Ovis aries: one gene and its partners. The protein of the gene in region 1 binds, or shares a complex with, the protein of each later gene. Links are inferred from orthologs where the notes say so. Each region holds a gene or a part of one and is shown on either strand. Other genes may lie near its edges.

Region 1 (4,785 bases):
ACAGAAAAGGAAATTCCAAATGAGATGCTACCATTTGGCTGTCTTAAAGCATTTTATGTCTTTTCTTTTTTTTTTTTTTTGGCTTAAACTTTTCACCACAGATACTTTCAAATATACTCAAATGTAGAGAGAATATGTAAATGAACTTCCTTGTATTGATCACTCAGCCCTGACAATTATTAACATCTTGTCCTGGCCAGTATTTATTTTGAAGGCTGGAGAGGCTATTAACCTTTTCAACTCATCAAGAAGAGCTTTCCTAATTATATCGTTGTTATTATAGTAGCTACTGGCTTTTATTTTAACTGTATAATATATGACTGTTTGCTTGTAATGAATGCATTAGTTTTGTGGCTCTCAGAGGGGGTTATCACAACAGAGACATATGTGCCTCAATATGTGAATAGTGTTGCTGTTAGGAAATTTTACTCAGCTGATGTCCCCACTTCACAATGAGGAAAGTGAGGTTTAGAGGGGTTAAATTAACCGACCTCTTGTAAGTAGACCGCTGGGAAGTAATAGAGCCCAGATTTCAACCCAGGCAGTCTCACCCTCCCTGCTTAACCATTACCCTTCCTCTCTTCCCAGACCAGTCCCCTCATCTGAATTCAAACCCATAATTTTAGAGAGGGAAAACTGAGGCTCGGGGAAGAGAAGGGACGTTACTTAAAGTCACAGTGCTTCTCCCTCTAGAGAGGACCCAGAATGGAAGGGTCACCCCTTAGGGAAAGGTCCCAGGGAAAGCCGGCAGGCCGTCCCGCGCTCCACTCGGGCAGACGGACCGGGCAAGAGTCTCTTGCAGGGTGGGTGGACTGAGGGCTCCAGGGAGATGAGCATTTGAGAGAGAAAGGGGAGCGAAGAGGCGTGCGGGATTCTACTCCACGTGTTCGACTTTGAGCCCCCTCTCCCGCCCCGGGCTTCCTCGGGCGGTCCCCACGCTGGGCCCCCTCCCCACATCAGGACTGGAGGGAGAGAAGCGCAGCAATGAACTTCCCCGCAACCCCTCTTGGCCCGACCTGCCCGCCTCCCACACCCAAATACCCAGCCGCAACCTTTCACTCCGAGCCCCCTGCCCCTTGACCTCTGCCCTCTCCTCTGACCATCCCTCACATGCCTCGAATTCTTACACGCGCCGCCCCAGCAACCCGGACCGACCGCCGGGGTCCGCACAGCACAGCACAGCCCGCCGGCGCAGCCGCCAAAGCCCCGAGCCCGGAGCTGTTGCAGCTGCAGCAGCCGCCGCAGAAACCGCCACCTCAGCCGCTGCCACCACGGCAGCTGCGCCAGCTCTCCCATCCGCCGCCTACTGTCCCCTTCGCCTGGCCGGCACCGCCCCAGTCCCCCCTTCGCCGCGCCCTATTGGCTAACTCGGGCGTCATGATGATCTCTGATTGGCCAATCCTTACGTCCTTCCCCAGTTAATACAAGCCTCCTTGCCCACCTCCCTGGGGAAGAGAGGCGGGACAAAGAAGCTCCGCCCCTTTCACGCCTATTCTCCCCGCCTTACTCGTTCAGCTTAACCCTGAGGGACGCCCGGCTCTTCCAATTGGTGGAGAGTTAGACACACCTTGTTTCTGATTGGTCAGTCCTCAGGAGGTGGACCAAACCGAGGGGAATAAGGAATCGAATGGCGAAAAGGAAAGTTAATCAGACACCGAGTCCCGCCTTCTGAGATTGATGGGTAACCTAGCAACGCAGGAACAGCTGTGGTAACCAAGGACAGAAAAACTTAAAGACCACCGAGCAGGTGAGTGATCATGTGGGGAAGGGCTGGAGATGATGGGGAGATGTTGAATGGGATCTAGTCCTCTTATCTTTTTGACACTCTGAGGAATCAGCATCCCGTCCCCCCTCCCCCCACCGCTAGCCCGTCCCCAGCTCAGGACCCTGATCTCCAGCCCCTGCCTCAGTCTGGACGTCCCTCTCGACCTTCTGCAAAGACGACTGGGCGTCCTCTTTGGTGTCTCTGCCTCTACTCTGCCCTTCCTCTTGTCCACTTCATGGTTCCACTTCCTCATCCGTAAAACGTGGATGATACTAGTCAAGTGGACTCACAGCTAAGTTAAACTACTTTCAAGTTACACATAGGTGTTGGGGGTGAGAGAGTAGTTTTATAAGTCCCCTACCATTCTGTCAACAGCTTATAAATCCCAAGGTGAGCATGCAATGAGAGTGAGTGTTTAAATTATGTACCTTTGTACCAATGTTGGCCTTTTGTGCTATAATAACTTTAGACCTTAACTTCCATCACTGTCCTTAAAATATAATTTCATTTACATACTCAAGAGAAAGGGTTTGTTGCAAGGATTAACTAAAACAAAGTAGAATAGTTGTCGCCAGGGGCTGGGGGAGTGGGAAACGGGCAGTTATTACTTAACTGGTACAGAGTTTCAATTTGGGATGATGAAAAAGTTCTGGAAGGCAGATGGTGGTGATGGTTGCATATAGATATGAATGTAACAATTTAATGCCACTGAATTTTAAATGGTTACAGTGGTAAACTTTATGTTGCCTGCATAAGTGCTCAGTTGCTTCAATCAAAGTCAGTCGCTTCAGTTGTGTCTTGACTCTGCAAACCCTTGAACAGTAGCCCGCCAAGGCTCCTCTGTCCGTAAGATTTTCCGGGCAAGAATACCTGAGTGGACTGACATTCCCTCCTCTACGGAATCTTCCCAACCCAGGACTCCAACCCGGTCTTCTGCACTGAAGGTGGATTCTTTACCCCTGAACTTATGTATATTTTAACACAGTAATAATTTTTCAAAGCAACTATAAAGCTAGACAAAACCATCTATTGCTAAATTAGCACTCTGAAAATCAGCCAAAGGCATACAACAAACTGAGAGCTTTTATTCATAAAACCACCGAACTTCAAGTTTGTTTTGTACTTACCTGGGACTTCTCTGATTTCCCCATACTCAGTTCTATCTGGCATAATAGTTCAACGAGGGCAGGTAGCCCCCTGAAAACCAAGAGCTTCACTGTCGCTGTCTGATGGGGCTCACTTGATTTGGAGGACTCTTGGCTAAAGTAGCAATCTTGGTGGGACGAGAACAGGGAACGCCAGCGGGTGTAGCAGTCCAAGGTTGTAGTTCTATTCGGCGCCAACAGTGCACTGAAAACTTGGAGTTCTGGGGAATGCGGCATCCATGCGGAACCTGATGAGCTCTGTCTTACCTTGACTGACTAGAGGTTATGCGCATGTGCAGCAGAGACCTGCTCCGGCCCAAGAGACTTAGAAATGCTTGGCCTTTGGAGCCTGGTGTAGACAGGTGTACTGAGTGCATAGGGTACTTGCCATCCAAGAATAGGAGCCTTACTGGTTCAAAGTGTGAGCACAACCCCTGACTGATTTTTGGCTGAATATTAAACTATGTGGATACATAGGTGACCCCTAGGAAGCCAAGTTTTAAAATAAAAATATGCAAAAAAAATTAAGCAGAGATATCAGTAGCTGCACACCATGGAGGAGACTGACTTGACAGATTTAGTCCAGGAAGTAAATTACCAAATGCCCAAGCAAAACAAAAACAGCAATCATTAGGAAAAAAAAATACTGTGTTGCTACCAAAAAAAATTTCCCTCTAAGATTTCCAGTGTTCAATAAAAATTGTGAGATGTGTGTAAACATACTCAGGGGAAAAATGCAGTCAATAGAAACAGTCTCTATGTGTCCCCAGATGTTGGTTTCAGCAGACAAAGACTTCAAAAAAGCTATTATAAATACGATCAAAGAACTAAAGGAAACCATGTTTAAATAACTGAAAGAAGACAAGATAACAATGACTATCAAATAGAAAATATTTAGTATCCCAGAATAGATTATGATAAATTAAGGTGTACATTATAATCCCTAAATCGACCACTAAAAAAAAAAAAAAAAAAAACACTCAAAAAATATTTTAAAAATCAATGGAATAATTAAAAGAATGGACTAAAAACATTTAACACAATAAAAAGCATTCAGTAAATAGCATGGGGACAAAAAAGAAAAGGCATGAAATGCCAGAAGCCAGTGTGAGGAATCCTGCCCGTGACAAGGTCATGAGGAAGGAAGCTGACATACGCAAGGTCGTGATCAGACTTCAGAGTTCCCCCTGGCATTTCCTGAGCATGTACCCCCCAAAACCAAAAATCTGCCAGCCTTTGTACTCTGCTTTTCCACTTTTCTGATATTCTCTGGAAAAAAGTCAATTCAGGGCTTTAGTCTTCTGCATTTGAAAGGAATGTTTCAGTTAAACCCCCTCTGATTGCTCTCTAGCTTGCCTAACAGGTTCCCCAGACCTCTTGTGAATTGCTTACAGCCCCCCAACCGTGAGAGGCACAAGGCTTAGAAGCATCTTAAAGATACAGAGCCATTTCTAAAGAGTTAAAAATTATATTGGTAGAGGGTTTTTGCTGTTGACTCAATGACTGCTGCCAGGCCTCCATATTCTTTATCTTTTAGGCACCTGGGAGGATATTAATCAATATAAACGGGATATGGAAAAAGATATATAGTAGTTCTGATGTTAGCAACACTAGACTTTTGAGTTAACTACTTCTCTTTGTTATATATCACTGCACTCCTCTTGTGTCCTTGCTATGTAAGAATGTAACTTTACTTAGTGCTTTCTGAGAGTGGCACCAAACCTTGGGAAGATCAACACAAATAAGTCTTCTGGTTGACAAACCCTTATCAGAAAAAAGGCTGTAAAATGTTAATTGGCCCTTTTTGGCCAGAAGATGATGTAAATCACCTAAGACTTGTGTATACAATTAGGTATGCAGAGAAAAAGCCTGGTT
Region 2 (4,803 bases), on another chromosome or scaffold:
AATATTCCAAACTAGCTAAATTTTCCAGTACAAGGGCAGTCTTAGAAGCAAGTAATATGCTGTTAAGATTTTGTTCTTTTGCTGCGTTGTTCTTTATTTCTCAGGCCTGGGGCATCAGTAAGTATGCCTCACATAAGTAATAAAGGCCTATGCTTAGTGCTTTCAAGTTCTGGCTGCTCATTCCTCAACGCTAGAAACTCAGGAGTCATTTCTGCTTCCTCCTTCATCCTGACATCAGCATTCCCCCAATTCAAATCATCACCAGGTCCTGTGGATTTTACTTTCAATTTCTATTTCCCCCAATACCCTGCTGAATCTAGCTGTTGTTTCTTGCTTGAACTACTCTAACAGCTTCCAAATTAAAGGTGATCTTTTTGAAATAAAGGGCTCATCGTATAAAGTTGAAAATTTCATTGTATTTCTTAGAACCTCTCAATGGTTTCCCATTAACTTAAGAAAAAAACTAAAATTCTTAACTTGGACCATAGGGCTGCTCCTCTGTTCCTCTCCAGATGCATCTAGCACTGCCCTTTTATTGCTCTCATGGGTCCAGCTTCAGTGGGCCTCTTTCTTCTAAAGAATCATGCTCTCTTCTAACTCAGGGTGTTTGCATATGCTATTCTTTCAGCTTGAACCACTCTTCCCCTAATCTCTTCCACCTTGTAAAGTCCTACTGGTCCATCAGGTACCAGCTTCAACCAGTGGCATTTTGCTGTGTATCTACCACTTTGCCCAGCTAGAGCCAAGCTCCATGAACCATTTTTTTCTCACACCACCTTCTATTTTACTTGCTCCTTGTCTTGCTCTCCTACTAGGATGTAAGCTCCATGAGGACACAGATTTCTGTTGTTCTGTTTACCGCAGCATCCTCCAAGCCAAGAAGAAAATTTCGTACATGGTAGTCAGTCATTCAACAAACTGTTGGAAAAAAAGAATGAATCCATCAGTTCAGTTCAGTCGCTCAGCTGTGTCCGACTCTTTGTGACCCCATGAATCGCAGCATGCCAGGCCACCCGGTCCATCACCGTCTCCTGGAGTTCACTCAGACTCACATCCATCGAGTCAGTGATGCCATCCAGCCATCTCATCCTCTGTCGTCTCCTTCTCCTCCTGCCCCCAATCCCTCCCAGCATCAGTCTTTTCCAATGAGTCAACTCATTCTCATGAGGTGGCCAAAGTACTGGAGCTTCAGCTTTAGCATCATTCCTTCCAAAGAAATCCCAGGGCTGATCTCCTTCAGAATGGACTGGTTGGATCTCCTTGCAGTCCAAGGGACTCTCAAGAGTCTTCTCCAACACCACAGTTCAAAAGCATCAATTCTTCGGTGCTCAGCCTTCTTCACAGTCCAACTCTCACATCGATACATGACCACAGGAAAAACCATAGCCTTGACTAGACGGACCTTAGTTGGCAAAGTAATGTCTCTGCTTTTGAATATACTATCTAGGTTGGTCATAACTTTTCTTCCAAGGAGTAAGCGTCTTAATTTCATGGCTGCAGTCACCATCTGCAGTGACTTTGGAGCCCCCAAAAATTAAGTCTGACACTGTTTCCCATCTATTTCCCATGAAGTGATGGGACCGGATGCCATGATCTTCATTTTCTGAATGTTGAGCTTTAAGCCAACTTTTTCGCTCTCCTCTTTCACTTTCATCAAGAGGCTTTTAGCTCCTCTTCACTTTCTGCTGTAATGGTGGTGTCATCTGCATATCTGAGGTTATTGATATGGATTCTCCAAAGAGCAACACAAATAATGTGCAATAATTAGGAAAGGTAAATCTCAGGCATCCACTAAGCTATCCCATTCCAGTGCACAAATATTTACTGAAGACCAATTGGACATGGGCTAGGTGGCAGGCACTTGGGAGTTTAGCAACTGCTGTCGTTGTTAAGTCGTGTCCAACTTTTTTGTGACCCCATGGACTCTAGCCTGGCAGGCTCCACTGTCCATGAGATTTCCCAGGCAAGAATACTGTAGTGGGTTGCCATTTCCTTCTCCAGGGGATCTTCCTAACCCAGGGATGGAACCTGCATCTCCTGCATAGGCAGGGGAATTTTTTTTTTTTTTTTACCGCTGAGCCACCAGGAAAGCCCTTTGGCAGCTGAGTTCTCCTTAAAAGGCAACAAGACTTTGTCAGGGATGTTCTCTTCACCCTCGGAGTCAAAACGAAGAACGGCGGTAAGAACTTAAGTCATTTCTCTAAAGAGATAAAGGGGTAAAAGGAGGAAAGGATTAAAAGGGTGGTAAGGGGCGGAGGGTGGTTTCCAGGTGGCTCAATGTGTAAAGAATTCGCTTGCAATGCAGGAGCCAAAGGAGACGCTGGTTCGATCCCTGGATCGGAGAGATCCCCTGGAGGAGGGAATGGCAACCCATTCCAGTATTCTTGCCTGAAGAACCCCATGGACAGAGGAGCCTGGCGCGCTGCAGTCCATAGGGTCGCAAAGAGTCGGACACGACTGAACAAGGTCGCAGAAAGGCAGAAGAGGGCTTCCCAGGTGGCGCTGGTGGTAAAGAACCCGCCGGCCAATCCAAGAGATGCAGGTAAGCTCCTAGGGTGGGGAAGATCCCTTGGAGAACACGGTAACCCACTCCAGTATTCTTGCCTAGAGAATCCCAAGGGTAGAGCCTGGTGGAGGACGGTGCATAGAGTCGCAAATAGACGCGACTGAGTATATATGCATGCAAAGGGGTAGGAAAGGTATAGAGAATTAAGAGCTTTCTCCTCCTTTCTTGCTCGCGGTCTTTCTCTTCCAGGCTAGGATCCGAGAGCTTCCGTTTGCCCTACTCCTAAGTGGTAAGAAGGAAAAATACCCGCTTGTTGGCGAACCAGTTCTAGGGTACTCGAAGCGTAGGTCGTCCTCCCCTCCGGCTTCACTTTGCCAACTACACCCCCGGAGGCCGTCGGAACCAAGCTAAGGTGTTTCTGTGGCAACGGACAGCTTCGGAGGACCTTTTCTTCTCTTTTAGCTGGCTACTATTTTGCCTCCCTGTGTTCCAAAATAATACATTTTGCAGCTTACAAAGATAAAAGGACTTAGGGAGAGAATTGTACAGGTGATTTTGAGCGTGGTTCATTTCAGTCAGAAGGCGATTTCTGAGGCTTTTTTGGCGGTCGCGGAAGTTACCTAAACGGGGGCGGGGCGGAGATGTATTTACCCACAAGACCACGCGGCGGGTCCTCGCTGGTCTCTTTCAGCCATCTTGGACCCTGTGAAGGTGTGTAGACTTCCTGCAGCTGAACTTTGGGGGCAAATAAGTGGGGTAGGCTCGGCTATATCCCTCGGACGAGGCACGGGTGTGACTCCGAGGCTCTACCAGCTAACGATTTCTGTGATTTCCAGCAACGGGGAGGACAGGATGGAGGAGATATGGGACTGATGGTGCTGGTTCCCTGACCTCCGAGAATGGGTGCTCCGGTAACCAGTTGCTTCCGGGCCCTAGCGGAGTAAAATACAAAACAGATGCATTTTGTCTGGCAGCAGCGGCACCTTTAGGCAGGGTTCTTTGTCCATTTACTGCCACCTCAAACCTGTGTTCTGCATGTTTACTGTGTCTTTCCTTAGCTTTTCTTTCCCGTTCAGTGTGGCTTCCCTGGTGGCTCCCACGGTAAAGCGGCTGCCTGCAATACGGGAGACTCGGGTTCGATTCCTGGGTCAGGAAGGCCCCCTGGAGAGGGGAATGGCAATCCACTCCAGCACTTTTGCCTGGAAAATCCCTAGGACGGAGGAGCCTGACAGGCTACAGTCCGTGGGGGTCGCAAAGAGTCGCGACTCTTGAGTCGCACGACTGAGCGACTTAAGTGTGTAAAAGTGTTGTTCTTAAGACTTTCTTTTGGTGTTTCTAGCAGTTATGTCTTGTACTGTAGAATTTTGCCACTTTAGTTATCTTCATTTTGGCGTTTGCTTAGTTACTTAGCATTCTTTGAGTTTGGGGTGCTGTTCCACAGGAAGCTAGTAGGTTGGAAACGGGCGTTGCGGGGTTTTAAACTGAGTATTTTTGTTTGCAGGCCTGCTGGGAACGGGACTTCTAAAACGACAAATATGTCTGGAAGGTATGTGTTTTAAATATCATTGCTTTGTACTTACAAGTGTACTTGTTTATAAGGCATGATCGTAAATGTAAGTTTAAGTCTGGTGGGGAAAAAAAATAGATGTTTGGTGTAGGTAAATTTAGGTGGGGATCATCACAAGTCAAACCATAGCTGTTGCTTGTTGAAGTTAAGTGAGATTTTAACAGCTTAGAATTAACAGTGTATTTTGTCTTAGGCTGTGGTCCAAGGCAATTTTTGCTGGCTATAAACGGGGTCTACGGAACCAAAGGGAACACACTGCTCTCCTGAAAATTGAAGGTGTATATGCTCGAGATGAAACTGAATTCTATTTAGGCAAGAGATGTGCTTATGTGTACAAAGCAAAGAAGTAAGTTTATAGTATTATACTCTGGAGTTTTTACTTGATTTGTCTCATTTTAAGTTGGTAAAGTAATTGATACTGTTGTGGTTTTTACTTTGGGATTTTAAGCAATTTTAGGGTAGTGTTAGATGTAGATGTCTACTGCACTTAGAAAAATTACAGCTGTTAATTGTTTCAAAGGAGGAGTCAGCTTCTTAGAGTATGATTTTAAGGTTTTGTAGAGCATTTTTCTAGAGAAGGAAATGGCAACCCACTCCAGTGTTCTTGCCTGGAGAATCCCAGGGGTGGGAAAGCCTGGTGGGCTGCCGTCAATGGGGTCGCACAGAGTTGGACACGACTGAAGCGACTTAGCAGCAGCAGAGCATTTTTCATGTACCTTAATTCATTTTG
Region 3 (4,528 bases), on another chromosome or scaffold:
TTTATACCCCATTTCCTACCAGTCTGCTTTCTTCTTTCTGTTTGTAGCTCTTGCTTTGATCTTCCTCACTCTCCTTCTTCCCGTCTAAATATTCTCCAAGAGCTTCCCTGGGATGGCAAAAAATGTAGAGAAAATGAAGTTTAAATTCTAGGAAGTAAAACCTTTCACTTTTTTTCCTAACTTCTTGTTTTGTTTTGTTTTGTTTTTAAATCTTTCTGCTGAGCTGTGCATGGCCTGGGGGATTTAATTTTAAATTTTCATAGTATATTTCACCATATACAAAAATATATTCCATAGGGATAAAAATTCGAATACTAAAAAGAACACAATCCAGGATTTCCTTGGTGGTCCAGTGGTTAAGACTCTGAGTTTCCAATGCAGGGAGTACATGTAGGATCTTAGCTCGCTCCCCATGGAACCTGCCTCCCCTGCATTGGAAAGGCAGAGTTTTTTTACTCCAAGTGGCATGTAGGATCTTTGTTCCTCCAAACCATTCCCTAAAGAGCAACAAGGGTGATCTTAACATGCTTAGAAAGTTGAGAAATTCTCACACTAGGTTGTTGGCCTGTGGGTAAGAGCTATAGCCATATGGAAGGTCAAATGGACACTCCAAAACTGCACCCAAGTGCACAAAAAGCAATACTGTATACCAGGGCTACGGTAGGGATTAGCATCACCCTTAGGGATCTCAAGGACTTCCCAGGTGGCTCAGTGGCAAAGAAGCTGCCTGCCAATGCAGGAGACGTGGATTCAATCCCTGGGTTGAGAAGATCCCCTGGAGAAGGAAATGGCAGTCCATTGCAGTATTCTTGCCTGGAAAATTCCATCGACAGAGATGCCTGGTGGGCTACAGTCCACAGGGTCACAAAGAGCTGGACATGACTGAGTGGTTGAGCACACAGTACAATTAGGAATCTCACAGATGTGGGAGTGGTGGTGCCTATCAAATCACCATTTAATTCACTGGTCAGGTCCCTGCAAAAACTGGATGGATGGAGCCAAGAAAATGATTGTCAATTACTGCAAGCTCAAGCAAGCAGCAGTCCTAATTGCAGCTGTCATGCAGGTCCTTGCTTGAACATATAAGTGTGGCCTTAGGTACCTGGAATGTGGCCACTGATTGAGCCAAATATGCTATTTCTACCTCAGTCAGGAAAAAGGATTAGGAAGTTCATATCGAGGAGGAACAGATAATACACACTCATACAGTCCTCATACTTGCAGGGCCATGTCAATGCTCCTGAGCTGACAAACTAGAGTCTAGATAGATCAGGACCACTTGGATATCCCACAGAGCATCACACTGATCTGTTATCTCAGGGCTGCCAAACTTTGGCTGATGGGCCAAATCTGATTCACTTGCTTTTGTATGGCTCAGGAGTGAAGAATGATTTTTTTACATTTCAAATGGTTTTTTGAAAAGATCAAGACGAATAGGCAGAGTGCAGGGGATTTTTAGGGCAGTGAAACTCTTCAGTACAGTACTGTGATGGGTAGATACATGTCATTATATATTTATCAAGATCCAACTGTTGTACCAATGTACCATTCTGGTGGAGAATATTGATAGTGGAGGAGGTTATACATGTGTAGAGTGCGTGTTAGTCACTCAGTTGGGTGTGACTCTTTGTGACCCCATGGACTGTAGCCCACCAGGCCCCTCTGTATGGGATTCTCCAGGCAAGGATACTGGAGTGGGTTGCCATTTCCTTCTCTAGGGATCTTCCCAACCCAGGGATTAAATCCAGGCCTCCCACATTGCAGTTAGATTCTTTACCATCTGAGCCACCAGGGTAGCTTCATACATGTGTAGAAGTAGGGGGTAAATGGGAAACCTCTGTAGTTTCCACTCAATTCTTCTGTGAACCTAAAACTGCTCTAAAATATGAAGTGTATCAATTTTAAAAAAAAAGATCTAAAGATGAAGAATATTCTGTGACACACGAACATTATATGAAATGCAAATTTCAGTGTCCTTAAGTTAAGTTTTTGTTGGAACACAGCCACATCACTCTGGGCCCCTTGTGTCCAAAGACCGGCAGACAACAAGAGAAGCACCATCTTGGCAAGGCAGCTGACCCTGACCAGCAGGACGAGGTATAAGCGCTGTCACACAGTGCGGTGTTCAGGCAGTCACAGGTTCACGCAAGTTCCCCTCGATCCCCCTTCTTAAGACAGGCCACAAAGTCTGTGAGTGGACGAGGGTGGCAACCCCAGCCTGAGAATGGTACAGTTATCAGCCTCAGACTCTGCAGGAAAACGGTTTTGTGTCACACAACCAGTTAAGCCACTGAAACCAACAGAAGTGATAGCCGAGGTCTGCTCTGTAACCCCTTGTGGAAGGAAGGCACGCTGGGAGGCAAGGAGGAAAGAACGATCTCGGGGGACCGGTCATGAAGCCCCAACATCTTCAGGTACGGCCCACAGTGCCTGGCGCAGCAGGCTCTCCGTGAACGTGCTGGAGGGATTCCTGTTTCCATCTTTGACTTTGCTAAGTGTATTCAATGCTTTAATATCACATACTTTGTTTGAACCTTCTGGCAGAAAAGTTTTCTATCTCATCAAGAAGCAAGACCAGCTCACACGTAGGGCACGCGAGCCCCTCACCACAGGGGCTCCGGCCTGGAGAAGCCACCCCCTCATTCCAGCACCCAGGTCACCTGCACCCCGGGCGCTCCTTGGAAGAACGCGCCCAAACCCTGACTCACCGCCTCCGAGCTTCCAGGCGCGCCGCAATGCGCAGGCGCCGGGCCTGGATCCGCTCCTGAGGATTATCAGAATGTACGGAGGGTCCGAGAATTGGGGTGGCTAAATGTTCATCCTCCTTCTCCTCCAGGACCCCCAGGGATCCTGGCGGATTCATGGCAGGTGCCTTCCGCCCCCCGGGCAGCCCTGCCTGGACCACCGTGGGACTACAGTTTGGTTGCTAACAACAAAGCTGTTGCCAGGGAAATGCAGTCACCTGACCCGCAGCTGGCGTGGTTGCGCGCGCAGCCCCTAAGGCCGGGCGCACTGGTGTTCTTAGCGCCGTTGTCTCAGCTTGGGGTTTTATTCCTCTGCTGCAATTACGGTGAGGACTGTATTGAATCCCCCACTAAGGCTCAGGTGGTATTAACAGAGGCCGGAAGACTTAAGAGCTGAACCAAGTTGTGATTCATCACTTACCTACCCTATGATTAATTCATCCATCAAATAAATAATCCTCAAAATCACCGTATTCAGCTAATGTAATTCAATGTCTACTCTATGCCAATCACTGTGCTAGCTCCGAGGATCCAAGCGTTGTCTTTTCCTCGATGGAGGGGGTAGAATAATAGGTTCACTCAGAAATTCTGAACTAAAGTACATTGCATCCACCTGCTTGTCATCCATTCTTTTTAAAAATTAATATGTATAACTTTACTTTTGGCTGTGCTGGGTCTTCTTTGCAGCAGGCGTTTTTCTCTAGCTGCCGCGAGCGGGAGCTACTCCTTGTTGCAGTGCATGGGCTTCTGATTGCGGAGCAAGGGCTCTGGGGCGCAAGGGCTCTGGTAGTTGCCGCTCCTGGCTGCAGTAGTTACAGTCTCCAGGCTCCAGAGCACAGGCTCAATAGTTGCAGCACACAGGCTTAGTTCTTCCGTGGCACGTGAGATCTTCCCAGATCAGAAATCCAACCTTTGTCTCCTTCACTGGCAGGCGGACTCTTTACCACTGAGCCGCGGAGGAATTCCCATCATCCATTAGTGTTTGAGCTCCTACTTTGTGTATTCAGCCTCTATCGTCTCTAGAATGTGAAAACCCCCTGCCATCAATAAATGTATATCCAACAAGGAACCGTTGTCTTATGTAGCGGTTTTCAGTAGGGCTGCACTCCCTCCATTACTACCCGCAATCACATACAGAAAAAAGAGGAGAGCAGAGAAAAACAGGTAGGAAAGGGAGTGAGGGGGGAGGAATGAAAGTTAAGAGCACAGAAGCACATTTAAACTTTCGAAGGACTACTGTCCCTTGAAAAGCACTATTTCCTGGGTGTTTTGTACGTGTCAATTGTCGCACTGCGACAAAAAATGCACCGCGTTCTTATGTAGCATTAAGACTCATTCGAAAACAAGCAGGATAACATTTGATCGAACCTTGTACTACTGGCCTGAGAGAAACTCGGAAAAGGGCACTAGGGTAGTAAGAAATTGCAGACAGGCCCTGCCACCTTGGGTATGGCACAATTTACTGTTTTCTCAGCTGTACTGCCTGCCTACTTAAATCACAAGCAACAGTGAGGCCAAAGAAGATAAGCCCCTTGTCAATAAGCCGTGCTGCTGCTGCTGCTGCGTCGCTTCAGTCGTGTCCGACTCTGTGCGACCCCATAAACGGCAGCCCACCAGGCTTTCCGTTCCCTGGGATTTTCCAGGCAAGAGTACTGGAGTGGGGTGCCATTACCTAAGCCCAAAGGCAGGTGGGGTAGATGTTATTTTAGCCTAGCTATTGATAGTATTTACACCTCTTATCAAATACAATACTGTTGACTTGTCATTATATTTGTGTGAAATGA
Region 4 (4,741 bases), on another chromosome or scaffold:
TCCACCCCTGGTTCATGAAAAAATTGTCTTCCATGAACTGGTCCCTGGTGTCAGAAGGGTTGGGGACTGCTGGTTTAGGGCACAAAGGGAGGAGGCAAGACCCTCTTAAACGTCCTTTCCATCAGAGAGAAAGTCTCCACATGGTGCAAGTACGCCTGTAACACCTTTCTGACATTTGCAGATTTCCCCTTGAGGCAGAGATGTCGCAGGGCACACGTTGAGACTATTGTCAGGGCAGGAGCAGGTAGCTGACACTTATTAACCTTGCTTTGCTTTTTGTATATTTATTCAGCCAGTTACTTTCTCCTTCTGGCTGCTGCTGCTGCTGCTAAGTCGCTTCAGTCGTGTCCAACTCTGTGCGACCCCATAGACAGCAGCCCACCAGGCTCCCCCGTCCCTGGGATTCTCCAGGCAAGAGCACTGGAGTGGGTTGCCATTTCCTTCTCCAATGCATGAAAGTGAAAAGTGAAAGTGAAAGTGAAGTCGTGTCCGATTTCGAGACCCCCATGGACTGCAGCCCACCAGGCTCCTCCGTCTATGGGATTTTCCAGGCAAGAGTGCTGGAGTGGGTTGCCGTTGCCTTCTCCGAGTATTATGAAGTTTCCTATTAAATATATTTATGCTTAGTCCAGTAAGTCTAAATTCAAAGAAACTTATTCATAATTATCTTTTAGACCTCTTAGATATGACACCTATATGCTCAGTCACTAAGTTGCTAACAGGGCTGGTTCCCAGTGCCTCACGAGACTGGGTGGCACCATGGTTGGCAACACTGGAGACAAACAGTTGTTGTTTCCCAAGCCAGGTGTTGAACCTGTGTCTCCTACATCTCCTGCATTAGCAGGCAGATTCTTTACCTCTGGCGCCATTCATAACAGCAAGGAAGAAAAAAAAAGAGGTAACATCACCATACTTGGAACACAGAGAGGGCAAGAATGGGGCTGCCTCTAAGGCACCTGAATAAGGGGCAGGCGTCAGTGACACAGCCTACAGTCTTCTGGCCAAGCCCTTGCGTCATCTCTCAGGATGGAGGACCTTTGTGGGGGCTGGTGGGGGGTGGATGGACACTGAAATGCCATATATGCTCATGCGCCCTAGGGAAGGCCTTGTCTGCAGCCAGAGAGCCCAGCCTCACTACAGTGGACCAAAGATCCTGTCCCCTTATAATTCCCGAAGTGATAACACCAGGCACATCTTTTTCTTTTTTTTTTTTTCTGTTTCAGCAAGGCTGGGTGACCCCCTGGATGACTCCCTGATGGGGAGTCTTTCTGGTCACCAGAAAGACCAAGCCGTGGCTGGAAGCTTGGAATTTCCAGCCCCTCCTCCATTCTCCAGAGACAAGAGAAGAGTAGAAATGGGCTCAATAATTGATCAAGCCTCTGTGAGGAAGCTTCCATAAGACTCTCAACAGTAGGATGTGCAGAGAGCCTCCAGGTTGGAAAGGCAATGTCCTCTTCGGGGACAGAAGCTCCTGCACTCGGGACCTTCACAGACCTCCCCAGACCTCGCATTATGTATCTCTTCACCTGCCTGGCCATCTGTGTCCTCTACTGTGTCCTTTAATAAACTGGTAAATGTAATGAGGTGTTTCCCTGAGTTCTCTGTGCCTCTCTAGCAAATAAATAGAACCCGAGAGAGGGGTCATGGGAACCCCCAATCGGTAGCTGCATTGAACAGAAGTTGTGGGTAACCCGGGACCGACTACTTGCTTGCTATTGGCATCTGGAGTGAGTGGGAAGAGTCTTGTGGGACTGAGTCTTTAACCTGTGGGATCTGATGCCACTCCAAGGAGGTAGTGTCAGAATTGAGTTGAATTGTAGGACACCCAAGTGGTGTCATGGAGCATTTCTTGGGACTTCCCTGGTGGTCGAGTGGTTAAGAATCCTCCTTGCAATGCGGGGGACGTCGGTTTGATCCCTGGTCAGGGAACTAAGATCCCACGTGCAGTGGAGCAACTAAGCCCATTCCTCAAAACTACTGAGCCCACGCGTCACGACTAGGGAGTCCTTGAGCTGCAAAGAAAGATCCCACAGGACGCAATGTAGATCTGTGTGCGATGCAACTAAGAACTGAGGTAGCCAAATACATAAATGAATATTTCAAAGAGGAATTACTCAGTGAGGGGAAAACCCACATATTTGGTACCAGAAGTGTCAGAAGCAAAGGGTTTTTTCTGAGAAGTAAAGGAGACACACAGAAGGTGGAAGACTGAGTTTTTCCATTACGGACCCTATGAGGCAGATACTGTTATGATACCCACTTTTCAGAGGAGAACACTGAGGCCTAGAGAGGTTAAGTGCTTGCCCTAAAGTCACAGAACTAGTAAGGAGCAGAAATATACATGAACCTGTATATTTCTGGCTCTGAAATCCATGCATTTAAGGGCCTAATAAAATGTAAAAATACTAGAAGGAATGGATGGTTTAGTGGAGGGGGAGTGAGTAAGGAAAGACATAGGAGGCGAGGAGGCCAAGGTGTCAGTGGGCAGCCACTGAAATGGGCTCTAAGCCAAGGTCACAGAACACGTCATCAGAGGTGCTGAGCCAGGACTTGCAACGCTTATTCCCTGCATCAGCCTGCCCCGTCAGCTAAAGCACAGTTTGGGGAAGGCAGTCCCGCCTTAAAGTTCCTCCAACTCTGTGCCCAGCAGCGCTCCCCACCCCACAAGCCCTTCCCTGAGTCTTTCTCCCCAGCAACAACCTTCTCTTCACCATCACACACACACACACACACACACACACACACACACACACACACACACACACACTGAAAACTTCCCCAGAAAGTTTGGGGTTGATAGGCCCCAGGCAGAAGAATCCCCCTTACCACCAGAGCCCACGCCCTTGCCCTCCTCCCTGCCAGGTGGGGTTCAGCCACCCCACACCCCAGCTCCCATCTCACCCTTGAGGACAGCCTGTACCATCTGTTAGCCTGTCTCCATGGTAACAGCTTTCCAGGCCGAGGGCAGGTCCTGGGAGAGGAGGCTTCTGGGAAATGTAGTCTTTTGTCACTAACCAGGTCTGGGTCCAGGAGACCCACTGCAGTATGTCCCTCAGCCAGCGGTGGGCTGGAAGCAGCTCATGTGCCAGTTTGCAAGAACTGATGGTTAAAGCTTTAGGAATGTTTGTGAACCCACTGATGAACCCTGTCATTAGTAAAATTTAAATTATAAAAACATACAAGTAAATAGACTATACTAAAAGCAGAGGTAAGAAGTACTCAAAACTCATCACTTCCTAATTATTTTACTGCATTTTATTGTTATCTGAGCTCCAGAGGTTATTTGTCCCTATTGTTATCTATACGATGAAAATATTATGTAAGGGTAAGCTGCTCTGCATCTTTTTCCAGCTCTGTTCAGTGATGTCACATAGGTAGCTTAAAATGGTCCATGAGCTTACTTATACCACAGAGACTGGCAAATGCTGCAGAAAAGGACTTTTTCTCTTCTCACGCGTGCTAAGTCGCTTCAGTCGTGTCTGACTCTTGGCGACCCTGTGGACTGTAGCCTGCTAGGCTCCTCTGCCCATGGGATTCTCCAGGCAAGAATACTAGAGATTTCTCTCATCAAGTGTTGTTAAACATTTACCAGGACAGCACTGCTTCCGCTTGCATGCTCAGTATGGCCTTCATCAAACAGATAGAAAGCAGTGTGTGTCCTGGCATGGCCCGCCTGTCATTGTGGACAGAGTCAGGCTGCCCAAGTCCTGGTTCTAGTCGAGGCTGGACCACTGATTTAGTATAAATCTCATGGCACAGGGAAAACTTACTTGTTAAGTTAGTGGCCCATGAAATTGCTTACTTTAATTTCTTTTAAATTCCAAGGAAAAAATGAATAGACCAATAATGCACATTATGAGTCCACCTGGGATTATATTTGTCTTCGTACCAATGTAGTCACAAAAGATAACTTCTTTTTTTTTTTTTTTTTGAAGGAAAGGGCCCATAAAACTTGTGATGCTGCCTTGTCGGGGTCCGTGGGGTCCAGAGAAATCCTGCAGATGTCTGGACGAGATTGTATAGTTGCTGCTATTGGTGAAAATGTAGGCATCACCTCAATTCTTGATAATAAAGAACAATTTTTTTTCTTCTGGCTGGAACATTATGCAGTCATATAAAATAAAGTGAGAAGGATAAATTAGATGGAGGGAAAATTCCTAAGATGGCATGTGGACTTCAGTCCTGGAGTTCATCCTGGAATTACCTCTCTGGGGAATTCACCTGGGAGGCAGCCAGGAAGGGAAGAGGAAAAGGAAAATGTGATATGCGCCACTGGCGGAATGGAACATAGGTCTCCTTTTTCCTTTTGTCTCGTGCAACACCTAATTTCCTCCACATAGTTGTTTATTCCTCTTTACCCATTCCCAGCCCACATAGGCATCATTCGGACGCTCCCCAACTCCCCACCAAACGAGCATTCTTTTTCATGCTGTCAGCATTTTTAATTGGTGTTAATGATATTGTATTAATATTTTTCTGTTTCTTAGACACTTGCTAAGATCTGTGTTTTTAACATCCACCCACTGGACTTCCTTGGCGGTCCAGTGGCTAAGAGTCTGGGCTCCCAAAACAGGGGGCCTGGGTTTGATCCCTGGTCAGGGAACTAGATCCTGCATGCTCCAACTAAGACCTGTCATAGCCAAATGAACAAAGAAAATAAATAAATATTAAACAAACAAACAAAAGCCGCACCAGAATTTATTAAAAAGAAAAAAGATCCACCCACATTAATTTCCTCTTT
Region 5 (4,652 bases), on another chromosome or scaffold:
AGATGGAAGAGAGCAAAAGCTTCCTGTTTGTTTGTTTGTTTTTTGTTTTGTTTTGCTTTGTTGCTTATTTAGAAGCTCATTTATTTATTAGCAAATAGTTATTCAGGACCTACCACACATTAGGTCTTGAAGATACGGAGGTAAGTAATTCAAACAGTTATATTCAAGCTTGCTTTCATTCTAAACATCAGCCAAACTAAGAGAGACTGTGTTTTGCTCGTGAGAGACATGTGGGCAGTGGGGAGTAAGAACTGTCTTTAGAGAGACCATTGAGAGAGGGAGGTGCAGTGAGAAAGTTAGGGCTTCTTCATTTATAACTAAAAGGTTAAGATTGGGTATTTTTTGCTATCCTGAACCTTCTGTTGCAAGTAGTAGAAGAGTCAGTGGGGGAAGACAGTATGAGAGCTTAAATTGCAGTTTTCTAAAGAAAGACCATTCTAACTCCACCCCTTCAGGCTGGACTACATCAGTGTGATCCTCTGAGAGAAAGTGCTGTGAGGGCAGGGTGTGCTGTGTGTGCGTGCTAACTCGGTTAGTGCTTGACTCTTTGTGACCCCATGGAATGGGGCTATCCAGGCTCCTCTGCCCATGGGATTCTTCAGGCAAGATTACAGAGTGAGTTGCCATGCCCTCCTCCAAGGGATCTTCCCGACCCAGGGATGGAGCCCACATCTTTTAAGTCTCCTGCATTGGCGGGCGGGTTCTTTACCACTAGGGCCACCTGGGAAGCCTACCTAACTGCTCCTGCAGGCCCTTCACTTCTTCCTCCAGCTTCCTGGTGCGACTCTGCATCGCCTCCTGCAGGCTCCGGCACTGACGACTCATCTCTGGCAGAGCCGTGGGTGGCCAGGGACCCAGATGGGGAGAGAGCAGTGGAGAAAGGACAGAAGTTGTGGGTGGGGAGGGCTCTGCTTGGTCCAGTGGACAAGTGCATAAAGGTCTGTTGAGGGCCTTCCCTGGCAGTCCAGTGGTTAAGACTTCACCTACCAATGCAGGGGACGCGGATTTGATCCCTGATCTGGAAGCTAAGATCCCATATTCCTCAGAGCCAAAAAACCAAAGCATAAAACAGAAGCAATATTGTAACAAATCCAATAAAGACTTTAAAAATGGTCCACATTAAAAAAAAAAAAATCTTAAAAAAAAAAAGTCTTCTGGATTCTTGTGGTGATCTGAGAAGGTAGGGACAGAGCTAGGAAATAAGACACCCATCCGCTATGGTAGCTCAGTATGTGAATTCAGGCCCTCCTTCCCACCCACTCCCACGGGAGGAGTGAGATAAAGGCTAGGGCTGCGTTTCATAGTCCACGGGACATCAAGCACAAAGCACTGCATGTCACGGAAGGTTCCTGCCCAAGACCACAGAAGGCCCCCTCAGGATTCCTGTGGGTGCAGGGAGGGCTGAGGCTAGGTATGGCGGTTCGAAGTCCTCCTTGTCTCCCTTTCTAGCATCCTTGGGCCCTCCCAGTTGTCCTCTTCCGGGCCCCTGTCTCCCGCCCACCTGCTCGATCAACCTCACACCTGCATATATGGCCTTCCCTTCGCTCCGGGCCCCCTCCAGTTCAGCCTCCAGGTCTTTGATCCTCTGCTTCAGCTGGTCTTCCGAAGCCTTGGCTCGGCGGGCTTCATCCCTCTGCAGAGCTGTGAACAGTCCAGAGCAGCCCTCTGCACTGGTTGGGGGCTCCACTCAATCAATCAGCCCCCATGGCCTTGATGGACTCTGTCCACCTTCAGAAACCTGGCGGCAGCCTGCCAGTCTCTCATCGTCATTCTGTTTCCCTTCCCCGCCTCAGAATCCTACAGACTCTGTTACTAAGAGGGAAAAACTCCCTCTGTGTTCCAGCTATAAAAGTTAGCTTTCTTTATCAACCCTCACGGCCCACCCTGTCCTCATGACCCCAGCTCTTGACAATCTTTTCCCATTAGGGGATGGTTAGAGATCAGCTCAGCCCTCCACCATTGTTCCAAAACTTTAAGCTCCCAGGGATACACAAATGCCCACTGTCTCTGTTGCCGAACTTCTACCCTTCTTACCCAAGCGGTCTTGGAGCACCTCCTTTTCCAGCAGTGCCAGCCTGTGCATGGATTCAGCCTCCACATCTGCCCTGGCAAGACAGCAGACCCTCAGCTTGTCAGGATCTCAGCCTTCCCTACCCTCCTCCCACCCTCCTCCCATACCCTGGACTTCTCTTTTTTTTGTGGGAGATACAAGGACCATTAAATGAGGGATCTCTGATAGCAAAGCCTAATGAGTTCACTACCCAGCTCACAGTAGGTATTTGAAAGATTGTAATGAATATACAAGGAAGGCACACAGCCAGAAGGGATTCATGGGTGCTGATTTTCCCATGTTCCCAGCTCCATGGCACCCGAATATGGATATAAAGGGGGAAGGCCAAGACAGCTCCATCTTGTCACGCAGAGGGATGAATTCTCTCTGGAGGTCTCTGAGCCAGAACAAGGAGAGGCTGGGAGGCACCCACCTCCACCCAGTCTGACTCACCAGCACCTGCATTTCTTTTCTTCTTCTGGGCCCCAGCTTTTGTCCCTTTTTCTTTGGTCTTAGGTGGCATCTCCTTCCTGTCCTGGAGGGAGGGAGGGGGCTCATATTTAGGTCTGGACATGGAGACACTCTCCTGACTCCCTAGACGGAACCAGGAGTCCCAGGAGAATTAGTGCTCTCATCTCCAAGTCTGTCTCTTACACTTTCCAGAAGCTTCAGTTCTTGGTTTCCTTGGAAACTTAGGCAAGGCTGGGGCCAGGGGGAAGGATGAACCCATTTCTCTCTACCAGTCAAGCTCTAAGTACAGAAATCATTCCTCTCAACCCTCTTTCAGAGAAAATAAAGCTCAGTACCTGGCCCCTTCTCTCTTCCCATCATCCTTACCCTGCCTCTTCCTTCCTCCAAGACCCTCACTTGTCTCTGTTGTATCTCCCTGTGGCGTGACCCACTTTCCAGGAGGGGCAGAGAAAAGGCCCAACCAGCTAGGAGCCGGAGGAGGAGATTGTGTTCTGGGACCCAATCCAGAGTGGCAAATTTCATTTGGGGGTGGGACTGAGAACTGGAAGGTTGGGCTTCTGGAGGCTGCACGTTGTCCAGGCAACTGGGAAACATGGAGCTGTTAGGAAGGTACATGCATGCTTGCTCAGTCGTTATAATTGTGTCTGGTAGAAGGGGCTAAATACAATGCTTAAAATACCAAGGTCTCAGAGGGCCAATACTCTTCTTGTCCCCAGATCCTAAGTGTAGTTTGAGGAGAGAGGGCTTTGGAACTGATTAAATATGATTCACTTCTATGTAGCACTGCCTGCAATTTGGACACTTACAAATTATAGATTTACACATCCAAAATAATGCTATTGCGCTGATACAGAGGAAAAGAACTCACGGTAGCCATTTGGGGTGATTTACATTTCCCAAAGTCTCATCAACAAAATGACATTATTAAATAGGCTTAAAATTGAAGATTTCAGGAAGGTATTCTACGGTGAATGAGGGAAAGAAATTCAGGAGATGGTGGTTGAGAGAGTTTCCTATTTCAGATAAATGAGACACAGAGGAGAGTTCGACCTAGGACCTCAAGGTGCTGTGCTAAGTCACCTCAGTCGTGTTCGACTCTTGCAACCTCTTGTGACCCCATGGACTGTAGCCCTCCAGGCTCCTCTGTCCATTGGATTCTCCAGATAAGAATACTGGAGTGGGTTGCGATGCCCTTCTATCCTGACATAGATGCAAATCAAGAAGAAAGGGTACTGGTTAGAGACAGGAGCTTTTGAGTTCTCATCCTTACCCTTCTCCAGATATGTAAATTTGGGTAAGTCATTTTCCTTGCTCAGCCTCAGTTTCCTAAATCTTTGATTTTGTAAATCTTGAAAGGCTTGGATTTTCACCAGGTATTTACAGGACTATCTTCTTTTATGGTGACTTAATATATTTCCTCTTTCTCCCTATTCCTGTCTGTGGTTGATTTTCAGACAGGTGCTGAGAAAATAACCAGCTTGGTTCCCTGTGGCATTGAGTTGATTTGGGCTCCCTCTAGTGGATTTTCTTGACCTTCTAGTAAGTCTCCTGAATTTTTCTATTTAAATTATTTATGGAGCAATGTTGGGGGCACCCCTCATTTAGGGGTGCTGCCTAGCATCTTGCTGGAGTCACGAATAGTTGGAAAAATAAATCTGGGGAAGGGAGAACGCTGAGTGGCTTGCCCTGGTTAGCTGTTCCCTCCCCGAAACCCCTCTCTCCAGCCTTTTGCTATTGGGAGCCTTTGCTGTCTGTCTGCCACCCAGATTTGTGAACACCAAAGTGGCTAAAATGAAAACAGCAGAAACTTCAGGGCTTTCCCCCTTGTGGATTTAGGGAACTGCAGACTCTTTCTTTAGATATTTCTCTGTCTTCCTCAACAGTTTTGGTCAATTGCCTGTTATCAAGAACAGATCTGAAGAAACAGCCATGAGATCTTGGGGGCCAGGGGTGCGGTGGGGGTCATAAATCCTTCTTCTAGGTGGTAGCAGATTCAGGCAGAGCCTGAGGATATTTATTTGTCACCTTCACAGGTGCAGGATACCTCTCTGACCCCAGGGACATTTTACAGAGTAAAGGGAAGAGCCAGACTTGTTCTTCGTGATGCTTACTGTTCCTCTATTTCAGTGTC

What was found.
Region 2: IQCD (region 1) and IQCG share a complex: the UniProt entries of both Homo sapiens proteins name them as parts of the nexin-dynein regulatory complex. The link is inferred for Ovis aries from reciprocal best matches to the Homo sapiens genes DRC10 and DRC9.
Region 3: IQCD (region 1) and DRC1 share a complex: the UniProt entries of both Homo sapiens proteins name them as parts of the nexin-dynein regulatory complex. The link is inferred for Ovis aries from reciprocal best matches to the Homo sapiens genes DRC10 and DRC1.
Region 4: IQCD (region 1) and DRC7 share a complex: the UniProt entries of both Homo sapiens proteins name them as parts of the nexin-dynein regulatory complex. The link is inferred for Ovis aries from reciprocal best matches to the Homo sapiens genes DRC10 and DRC7.
Region 5: IQCD (region 1) and CCDC153 share a complex: the UniProt entries of both Homo sapiens proteins name them as parts of the nexin-dynein regulatory complex. The link is inferred for Ovis aries from reciprocal best matches to the Homo sapiens genes DRC10 and DRC12.

What each region holds. Positions count from the first base shown.
Region 1 is NC_056070.1:61,298,085-61,302,869, reverse strand, and holds the start of IQCD (dynein regulatory complex protein 10), read left to right. Parts: upstream 1-1,645; 5' UTR 1,646-1,747; intron 1,748-4,785. UniProt on the Homo sapiens protein: Component of the nexin-dynein regulatory complex (N-DRC), a key regulator of ciliary/flagellar motility which maintains the alignment and integrity of the distal axoneme and regulates microtubule sliding in motile axonemes.
Region 2 is NC_056054.1:191,026,263-191,031,065, reverse strand, and holds the start of IQCG (dynein regulatory complex protein 9), read right to left. Parts: upstream 2,929-4,803; 5' UTR 2,813-2,928; intron 2,543-2,812; exon of another isoform or gene 2,306-2,542; intron 2,180-2,305; exon of another isoform or gene 2,134-2,179; intron 919-2,133; 5' UTR 777-918; intron 1-776. Other genes in the region: RPL35A (large ribosomal subunit protein eL33), read left to right, coding at 4,042-4,052, 4,252-4,419. UniProt on the Homo sapiens protein: Component of the nexin-dynein regulatory complex (N-DRC), a key regulator of ciliary/flagellar motility which maintains the alignment and integrity of the distal axoneme and regulates microtubule sliding in motile axonemes.
Region 3 is NC_056056.1:33,576,487-33,581,014, reverse strand, and holds the start of DRC1 (dynein regulatory complex protein 1), read right to left. Parts: upstream 2,929-4,528; 5' UTR 2,864-2,928; coding exon 2,709-2,863; intron 108-2,708; coding exon 20-107; intron 1-19. UniProt on the Homo sapiens protein: Component of the nexin-dynein regulatory complex (N-DRC) a key regulator of ciliary/flagellar motility which maintains the alignment and integrity of the distal axoneme and regulates microtubule sliding in motile axonemes.
Region 4 is NC_056067.1:25,268,462-25,273,202, reverse strand, and holds the start of DRC7 (dynein regulatory complex subunit 7), read right to left. Parts: upstream 2,929-4,741; 5' UTR 2,924-2,928; coding exon 2,902-2,923; intron 1,581-2,901; exon of another isoform or gene 1,224-1,580; intron 1-1,223. UniProt on the Homo sapiens protein: Component of the nexin-dynein regulatory complex (N-DRC) a key regulator of ciliary/flagellar motility which maintains the alignment and integrity of the distal axoneme and regulates microtubule sliding in motile axonemes.
Region 5 is NC_056068.1:29,498,744-29,503,395, forward strand, and holds the start of CCDC153 (coiled-coil domain-containing protein 153), read right to left. Parts: upstream 2,929-4,652; 5' UTR 2,705-2,928; intron 2,586-2,704; 5' UTR 2,574-2,585; coding exon 2,504-2,573; exon of another isoform or gene 2,219-2,503; coding exon of another isoform or gene 2,179-2,218; intron 2,106-2,178; exon of another isoform or gene 2,101-2,105; coding exon 2,035-2,100; intron 1,666-2,034; coding exon 1,522-1,665; intron 984-1,521; coding exon 735-983; intron 1-734. UniProt on the Homo sapiens protein: Component of the nexin-dynein regulatory complex (N-DRC), a key regulator of ciliary/flagellar motility which maintains the alignment and integrity of the distal axoneme and regulates microtubule sliding in motile axonemes.